Linked DNA regions of Tribolium castaneum. The protein of the gene in region 1 binds, or shares a complex with, the protein of each later gene. Links are inferred from orthologs where the notes say so. Each region holds a gene or a part of one and is shown on either strand. Other genes may lie near its edges.

Evidence for each region.
Region 2: the proteins of unc80 (region 1) and unc79 are in contact, whole or in part, in a cryo-EM structure (PDB 7W7G), measured with the Mus musculus proteins. The link is inferred for Tribolium castaneum from reciprocal best matches to the Homo sapiens genes UNC80 and UNC79. Residues at the interface, in NP_780719.2 of Mus musculus: Gln23, Thr24, Trp27, Ser31, Leu34, Arg35, Pro36, Ala80, Pro83, His84, His87, Ser94, Asn95, Asn180, Ala183, Leu187, Phe190, Leu191, Arg337, Leu340, Gln341, Pro342, His343, Arg1317, Asp1320, Glu1321, Asp1324, His1545, Val1546, Asp1547; in XP_030102533.1 of Mus musculus: Thr120, Tyr123, Ser127, Ala130, Thr131, Leu168, Ser169, Ser172, Met175, Ile176, Gln179, Tyr180, Tyr207, Tyr211, Gly212, Pro213, Ser214, Val390, Cys391, Glu394, Glu402, Phe405, Arg472, Cys541, Asp917, Phe920, Ser965, Glu966, Phe967, Ser968.

The regions. Positions count from the first base shown.
Region 1 is NC_087397.1:22,897,295-22,900,948, forward strand, and holds part of unc80 (protein unc-80 homolog), read left to right. Parts: intron 1-844; coding exon 845-996; intron 997-1,052; coding exon 1,053-1,202; intron 1,203-1,249; coding exon 1,250-1,380; exon of another isoform or gene 1,381-1,393; intron 1,394-1,423; coding exon 1,424-1,654; intron 1,655-1,704; coding exon 1,705-1,880; intron 1,881-1,929; coding exon 1,930-2,141; intron 2,142-2,264; coding exon 2,265-2,386; intron 2,387-3,654. UniProt on the Homo sapiens protein: Auxiliary subunit of the NALCN sodium channel complex, a voltage-gated ion channel responsible for the resting Na(+) permeability that controls neuronal excitability.
Region 2 is NC_087403.1:5,611,573-5,615,953, reverse strand, and holds the start of unc79 (protein unc-79 homolog), read right to left. Parts: upstream 2,839-4,381; 5' UTR 2,147-2,838; coding exon 2,044-2,146; intron 1,771-2,043; coding exon 1,651-1,770; intron 1,605-1,650; coding exon 1,443-1,604; intron 1,397-1,442; coding exon 1,226-1,396; intron 1,174-1,225; coding exon 623-1,173; intron 577-622; coding exon 362-576; intron 312-361; coding exon 1-311. Other genes in the region: uncharacterized protein LOC662811, read left to right, coding at 3,198-3,207. UniProt on the Homo sapiens protein: Auxiliary subunit of the NALCN sodium channel complex, a voltage-gated ion channel responsible for the resting Na(+) permeability that controls neuronal excitability.

The DNA.
Region 1 (3,654 bases):
CATAAAACCATTTAATTTTCATTAAAAGTTAAGTAACAAGCTTAAGTTTCAATATACCCAAAAAACCAAAAATTATAAACTTGATCTCTTGAAAAATTATTATTCAAGATGAAATTTATAGTTGAAGTTAAAGTTAGAGTTAAAGAGTTAAAGCGAATGGTTTTCTTAATTTTCTAGTGATTATCGTTTTTATTATACGGATTTTATTGGTTTTAGATTTTTATTTTTTCTTTGGTAAAGACACAACGTCACTGCACTTACTTTCGACTTTACATAATGGAATAATATTGTAAAATTGTATACAACTTTGTCATCATTCTAAAAAAATGCGGAAGTTTAGTGAATTTAAATAAATTCGAATCAAAGGCATTAAAGCCGTCAGACACGATTGAATTAGGAACCGGAATAATTTTACTTGAAAACCTGATAAAAGTGCATTCAAAATCCATAAAATTTTTGACAAAACATCGACCTTTATTTTGTCGAATCAAACAAATTATGTAAAACGTTTCATTTGTACGAGTACAATAATTTTACAAAAAAGGAATCGAGAATGAAATCTCCTATTATTTTAGTAGTATTTAACAGAAAACTAATGTGAAATGATTCAACCAAAGGAACAAGCAAATTTCAACCTGATTCTATTTATTTATCCCATCTAAAATGTTATGGTTTAGTTAATCGCTTAAAAAACAGTTGGTGAGCTACAAGACTGAAAAATGAGATCATGTTTCATAAATGAAATTTTTGAAAAAAAAATTTAGGAACTTTACAAATTTTTTGAAACAACTTACCACGGGAAATTTTAAGTTTAGCTTTATGTAGACAAATAATCGTAATTCAGGTAAACCATCGGAAGACGGTTTAGGGCACGAAAGTCCTCCCAGTCAAGGCATTAGTGCTTCTAGTTCCGAACAACAACATTTATTTTCTTGTGGTCCATCTTCGACTACCGTTACAGTTACGGCCACTATTACGAAAATAACCGATGATGAAGTAAGTAAACAAGTAAAATTATTAGCCAAATTTTATAATAACAACAAAAATTGTAGAGCAATTGGGTTTCATCTCCAAAAGATACGGTATTTCCTGAAACAATTCCTGAAGAAAGTTCCAGCACTGAAGAAGAGCATGTTGTTATTTTTAGACTACCATCTCTGCACGAATCGGATGGATTTATCCGAGATCCATCTATTTATACGGTAATCAAGGTGAAAAAAGAAAATATTAATAGTACAAGTGATTCTAGGCTGAAACTAGTTTATTTCAACTTGCTATGAGAAAAACAACTGGCAGCAAAAACAATGTTAAAAGTGGAGAAGTTTCAACTCCTGTAGGTACAGAAGGCAAACAGAGCAAGCCCGCCATACAAAAAATCGGGTACATGTGTACAGTTAAGAATGTTGTAAAAATGTTGATTAAGGTTTATAAAAACTTCTAGTTCATCAACTGACAAAGATTCAGTTGATAGTAGTAAACACGCGTCGACTGAAGGACCTGGGGGAGATATGGAAGGTTCCCGCAAAACACTTCCTGGTCAAACTGGTGATATAACCTCAGCTACATATCTAGATGTTGCTGTTTTAAGATGTTTGTTTATAACGCATTGGCAAGAGGAAGGAATCTACTGGGCTTTGCACTATTTATACAACAGGTAATACCTTGTGATTAATTAAATTATTTTGAGTTTATAAACCTTCAAAGATTGAGAGATATTAGCGAAGAAACTTCTGCTCAACAACAACCACGTCGTAGAAGCAATTCTCTCCCAATACCGAAAATCGAAGTTTCACTTTATCAAAGCACTGAGCTCAAAAAACAAGAAAACAATAAAGATTTTATCGAAGTTCCCGAAGTTAAAGATGTGTCTCTTTTAGCTGGTACAAACAATATCGTTTCTAATGAAAAAACTGAGAGACGATTTTCTAGAATCCCCTTACACCAATAAAAAATCATTAGATGAACCGGTTCATTTGAGACGAGTTAGTGAAAAAACTAAAAAGCGAATGAAAATGGCAGATCTTAAAGCTTTCGTTGAAACCAAACTTTTATCAAAATCCGACAAAGCTTTGGAAAAGATTGGCCAAGATGAACCGAAACCATTAGGAGAACATGCGGTGGGTGCAAGACGAATGCTTAGTGTATGTATCCTCTCACTATCTTTGTTCTTTCTTCCTCTGTTACTTGTGACACATTGTTGTAAGTTTTGTTCCAAAAATTCGAACGTGAAGCTGATAAACTAATTTGTTTTTTATTTCATACAGGATTATCATCGCAGTTTAGATACAGGTGATGAGCATTTATCAAGACCAAGTTCTGCAATGTCAAAAATGTTTGAACCAATGCCCAGCAATCTGGTTAAAGGGAAAAGCATGCCGAGTTTAAGGTCAGTAATATTTTTTGTATTGATTAGTTAATGATACAGAAAATTTGTTTGTTTAATGCTTTACCGTTGTTAACTGTTCACTAAAACTGATAAATAAATTATCTAACGTATATCCAATTTCACTTCATAGTAGAATTTTTCAACAACGCATTTGAATTTTTTTGAGAGAAATGGAACACAAATTGAGAGTTTCTGGTAGGTTTTCTTAGCCCAAAGTGTATCGCTGAGATTTAGTTTAACATAGAATTTTGTTGTTATACAGAAACTCTCAATTTGTGCTTTATTTTTCTTTCCAAAAAATTTAAATGCGCTGTTGCAATTCTACTATGAACAGAAATGGAATATATTTACTACACCGTAGACTTGCTGAAATTAGTAAAAAAGTTTCCACTGTCTACAAAAGTGTCTCGTGTATAAAGTAGGTCAAAACTTGCTCACGTGATACCTGGAAAAAATTCAGAAACGGCCAAATTAATCAAAATTTTTTTTTCAAGTAGTTTTTTGTAAAAAGTAAGCTAATCTGACTTGATATTAAGTGATTTTTTCTTTATTTACTCATTCTTGATTTTATAAAGGTTTGCAAAGTAAAAATCTAGCGCATTATAAGGAATTGAAGGACACTGCTCTACAAACCAACAAATCGATTTCAAATGTGTTTAATTTTCTGGATTAATTTTTGCAGAATAGTCAACTACACTATTCTTTTTCCAAATAGTAATGTGGCGGGTTTAATACGACAAAATTATTTGAAAAAATAAAACTATTTTGATTCTAGCTTATGTAAAATGATCCGAGTATGATCTATTGGCGTCAATAAAATTACGAAATTTCCAATGGTTTTTTGGCTATGAATTTTTTTGATCTATTTTTGCTTCTTATTGCAATTTTCTCGAAAACTATAAGTCGAAGAACAATGATCTTTTTTTAGAAAGATAGATGATTAAAAGTGCTTTCCAACGATAAGAAAGTTCATAGGGTTATCTTTAATAGCTTCGAAAGTACCCGAAGTACTGGTAATCGGACCGAAAATCGTCAAAAATCTCGCATAAATTGGAAAAATCAAACATCAAAAAATTGAACATATACACTTTTTTGTTTTTTTAGCAACTCGAGAGGCTTGTAAAGGCATAGAAAAGTCCATGTAACTATGCTAGAACAAGTAATTTTTTTTATTTTTGGTTTTATCACTCAGCAAAAAATTTCAAAATTTTAAATTTTGTGAAATGCCGGTATAATACGTAACATGAGCTGTAGAATTCAATGGAACA
Region 2 (4,381 bases), on another chromosome or scaffold:
CTAAGGTACTTTCTTCCTGGCCTGTACAAAACGCAAGATAATAGTTACACAGACTTTGAAAGTAAGTTGCTTTACCATCATATGAATATGCAGTCATATGAAACCAATGGAAAAGCATTGCTAAAAGCCGCCCTAATACTTCATTTGGTGTATTGTCTGTTGGGGTACATCTCCCCACCAACAACCAAACACCGTATCTACCTAAAAGCTGTCGCTCCTCTACTGTTATATTGTCAACAGCAGGGATCGGAGCTTTACCCTCCACGTTCTCCTTTGTCTCAACCGTGGGGATTTTTGCTTCTTTCAGCAAACTAGAACAACCAAAGTAACATTTTCGCCACCAGTTCGGAACTCACAGTACCTCACAATAGCTTCCACCATGTAGGTCTGCATTTCTGCATCCATGCTCCAAGTCGGTGGCAAGCTTTTGTGGACGATGTGATCTCCTCCCCTTCTGTTGTTGTGTCGATTGTTGTGACACTGCTCGCAATATCTAATCGGGTGATTGCCGTTGTAACTCGCGCACTCGGTCGAAAAACAGATCGAAATTGCCGACTTATCAGTCGATCGACAATTCTACAACTCCTCGCTTAGGATTTATCTAACGTCAGTTGGGACTTACTTTATTTTCGCAAACCATAGACACTTGTTGCATCGGGTGTAGAATATCGAAAAACATTTGATTGGGGTGCTCCCTGTGGATCTCGTTAGCGCACTCAATACACAAGTAAAGGGGCGGCGGAGTATCACTAGCGAAAGTGATTGAAATACAATGATCGTAACACACTTTGGCGGCTTCAGCGTTTCCGGCGTTTGGACACATGTCTCGTTTGCAAACGAAAGGTGTAGGATCTGCGCAAACGACATTTCTGCAACGACTTTGTGACATTTTTTCGGGTTTACCTGCGAACTTGCAAATGAGGTTTTTCCGGTCAAATAAATTCGCGTTGAACGTAGGCCAGTAATAAAATAAAAGCTTGGCTGCTGAGGATCGTGCTGTTGACGTACCGTAGGCGATCACGCTCAGAATGTCCTTCAGAATGTTCTTCTTGAGTGTCATCAGACATTCGAGGAGTTGACAGTGATGAGCGGGGTTTGTTGAATACTGGAACACCATCATGATTACGGCCGATACTGACTGACAGATTTCTTGCTCTCGGTCGTTGTGTCGTGCTGGAATGGCCACCAAGTGAAAATTGGAACGTGGTGGAACTTGGATAATTACTTATCGTAAACGGAAGGATGTAGAAACATAGCGAGTTGACAATGTCTTGGTGGAGGCTGCTAGGAAGGACTGCTATCGAGGATGCGGTTAAATAAGGCAAATTATCAATCAGGTCGTGCTCTAAAAAGGGTAGAAGACATCCGAGGCATTGAAGGGTGGCTTGTCCGAAAGCTGAAATTGCGATTTTTGCTAACTTGGCGCAAATTCAAGGACTTACAATTGAGTCCGTATTGGATGAGTGGCGCAACTTCGATTAAAGGAACGAGTGAATTGTAAAGCCCTTTGTAGTCTAAGCTCGGAAAAAGTCCCATGCGTACTGAATCCATTTCTGGATTTTTCAAAAGATCTAGAGGTGAATTGGGTACATCTTTGAGAACGGCTAAAAAGAGATTTTGGAGCGAGTTGTTTCGAAATGACGGACTTACTTAGGAGTGTTTGTGTGAAGTATTTGATAGTGTTTGCTATGTCAACCCCCGAAGGAGGAGGCATAACCCCCTGCATAAGCCGCAGTTGGTAGTCATATAAGCTGCGTATTTTGGCTGTAACTAATGAAAGGATTTGAGCAAAAGTTTGGACGTGTTGTTGGCACCGACTAGAATTCTGAGCCTTTCCAAAACATGAACTTGTGATTTTTAGTAAGTTTAAGAAAGAATAGTAGAAGTGACTTGGAAAGCGTGTCAGTTGTTAATTCAAGTTTTGGAAAGTTTGATAGGTGGATGTAGTAGCACGTTCTGGTCAGTGCCACTGGTGAGGACTGAGCACATCGATATATACAAAGAGAGTGTGAAGAACGACATAGAAGGTATAAAGTTGCTTACATGCAGCAGCACGAGTACCCATGTTGACAATGCAGTCACAATAATCAAACGCAAGGGAAACACTGAGGTCACATTGTTTAAAACGTGCGGGAATCTTCAACATGGGGGCAGCTTCGTTATCCCATTACAAATCAATAGTGGTAGAAAATAAGGGACAACTGAAGGATTCTACAAGAACAGAGGGACATAGACACGTGGCTAGGCCCCAGCAATCCCAGCATCCTCTCCTATAGGAGATCGATAGCATCCTGCCACCCGACACTCGCGCGCGCTAAAAATACGATTGCTACTTACAATTAGCACTTACATCGCATATTAATATAAGAGCGCATATTTAATAGATCTGTCGTGAACATCAGTCTAAAATTGAGCAGAAGCACTGAACATCAGCTGCCTTAGTTCGCAACCAATCGATATATCTTCATCAATAGGTTCTCTCCAGAGTTGCGCCTTTAACCGGAATCCGGCACTATTCGCAATCTACTTTAAAACACGTATTTACTTAAAACTAAAACCAAAACCTGTCGACAACACAGACAATCTAGCACTTCGTATAACTACTCGTCTGAACATTTAAATGAACTAAACCCAAAAACACTTCTTCTACCTCCCCTTTGCAATGTACAGACCCACTTGTTCTCAAGTGGAAAACAAAAATTACATCAAAAACCAGTGATCGGTCATGGCTGTCCAGCTCATACAACCTGCCATCGTTAAGCAAATATTGACCACAACAATTTTTCATAGAAGAAGAGAAAAGGTGTCACACAAATTTCGACAACGATTAGTGCAAAATCAAAAGAAAAACAACTAGTCAGCCTTTCGGGCAACTTACACCAAAATTTATTTATAAATTCACGAATAATTTTGTTCAGTTTTTCGCACTAAATCGAGAATAAGAATTTTAGCACTAAATTTGCGCAAAACAACGTGTTAAGGGGGAAATTTTAAGCAAAATTCTCCGGTAAACACTGAAATCATCAAGGGATATGCTGCAAGCGTGCGCAACTTTCAGACGAGGGTGGGTCTTTCATCTTTTCGATCCGTCCATCATCCAGTTTCCCCAGTTTCCCGCGACTTGGTCCTGTTTGGTCCACTTCTGATCTCCACAGCCTCACAATCAATAATGACATCCTGTTGACAGACGCATTATCATGGACACAGGTAAGCACATCAACACATCATAAATCGCATTTTTACATCTACACACCTTTTCACCCCTGTCGGATGCTGCAGTTTCTTCAATTTTTAACTAATCCGACCCATTTATCCCATTTAAATGCCTTACAGAACGCACAAAATGCGAAAAAGGTGAAACTTTCTGTTCTGTTTACGGAAGAATTATTGATTTCTTGTCAATTATTACGGTTCGCCCTTTAATTATCAAGGGTACCTGACAACAGTTTTTGCAAACAAATCAACAATCATTTTTTTTTTCATTTAATTTTTGGAGAACAACTGTTGCCATTTCATTTATTTAGTCTATTTTGGATTCATGTTGTTTATAGGCTCCCACATGGGGACATAAAACGGCTTTTATGGCCCAGACTAATCCAATCGAACTTGTTACAGGTTGAGATTGATTTTTTCGAAAACAAAATTTAATAAAACGTGACAGCGAAATTGTGGTAAAAATAGAGGAAAGACATTCTATCGCTTATTTTTGAACGAAAAGACGCTGCATTATTAATCGCTGTTACAACCAGGAAACCAGGGAGTGGGATTATCTCGCTTGTTTAATTGTGGGATTTAGGGCAAAATAAAACAACCGTGTCATGCCGCCTTATTTATTTGTCTAGCACATTTGTTGAACCCCACACGTGACGAATTACCTCGAGATACTTTTATAGAAAATTGAATCATCTACTAGTCAGAGTTCAAGAAACTGACTATTTACTAGTAAAAGTGTAAAGGTGATTTATTTGTGTGATTCATACGTATTATTAATTACGTGTTGAGTACCCAGATAATGGTTCAGTTAAAAAATGGGGTCTTAAAAATAGTCCGAAGTGGGTCGGGATTAAAAGATTAAATCGCTATTCAGGTACCAGACTTATAAAATCCAAAAATAAACGTTGCTCGTACACATTTTTTTCTTCACATACGGAGGTGATTTTTTATGGTCGTCTATGCCGGTTTTTTCCAAAGTCTAGTGCTTTCTCAGAACGATGAAGGTGAAAACAAAATCGTCACTGCTATAAATGGCACTTGGGTAAAGAATCTTTGGGAAAGCGTGACTCACTAAACAATTATGTTTTGTCACACTAATGACTTCTTTGTCTGATCTCGGAAAAAATTCGAAAAGTCCGGCGGTGATAATAGTGGGTTGTCTACACTC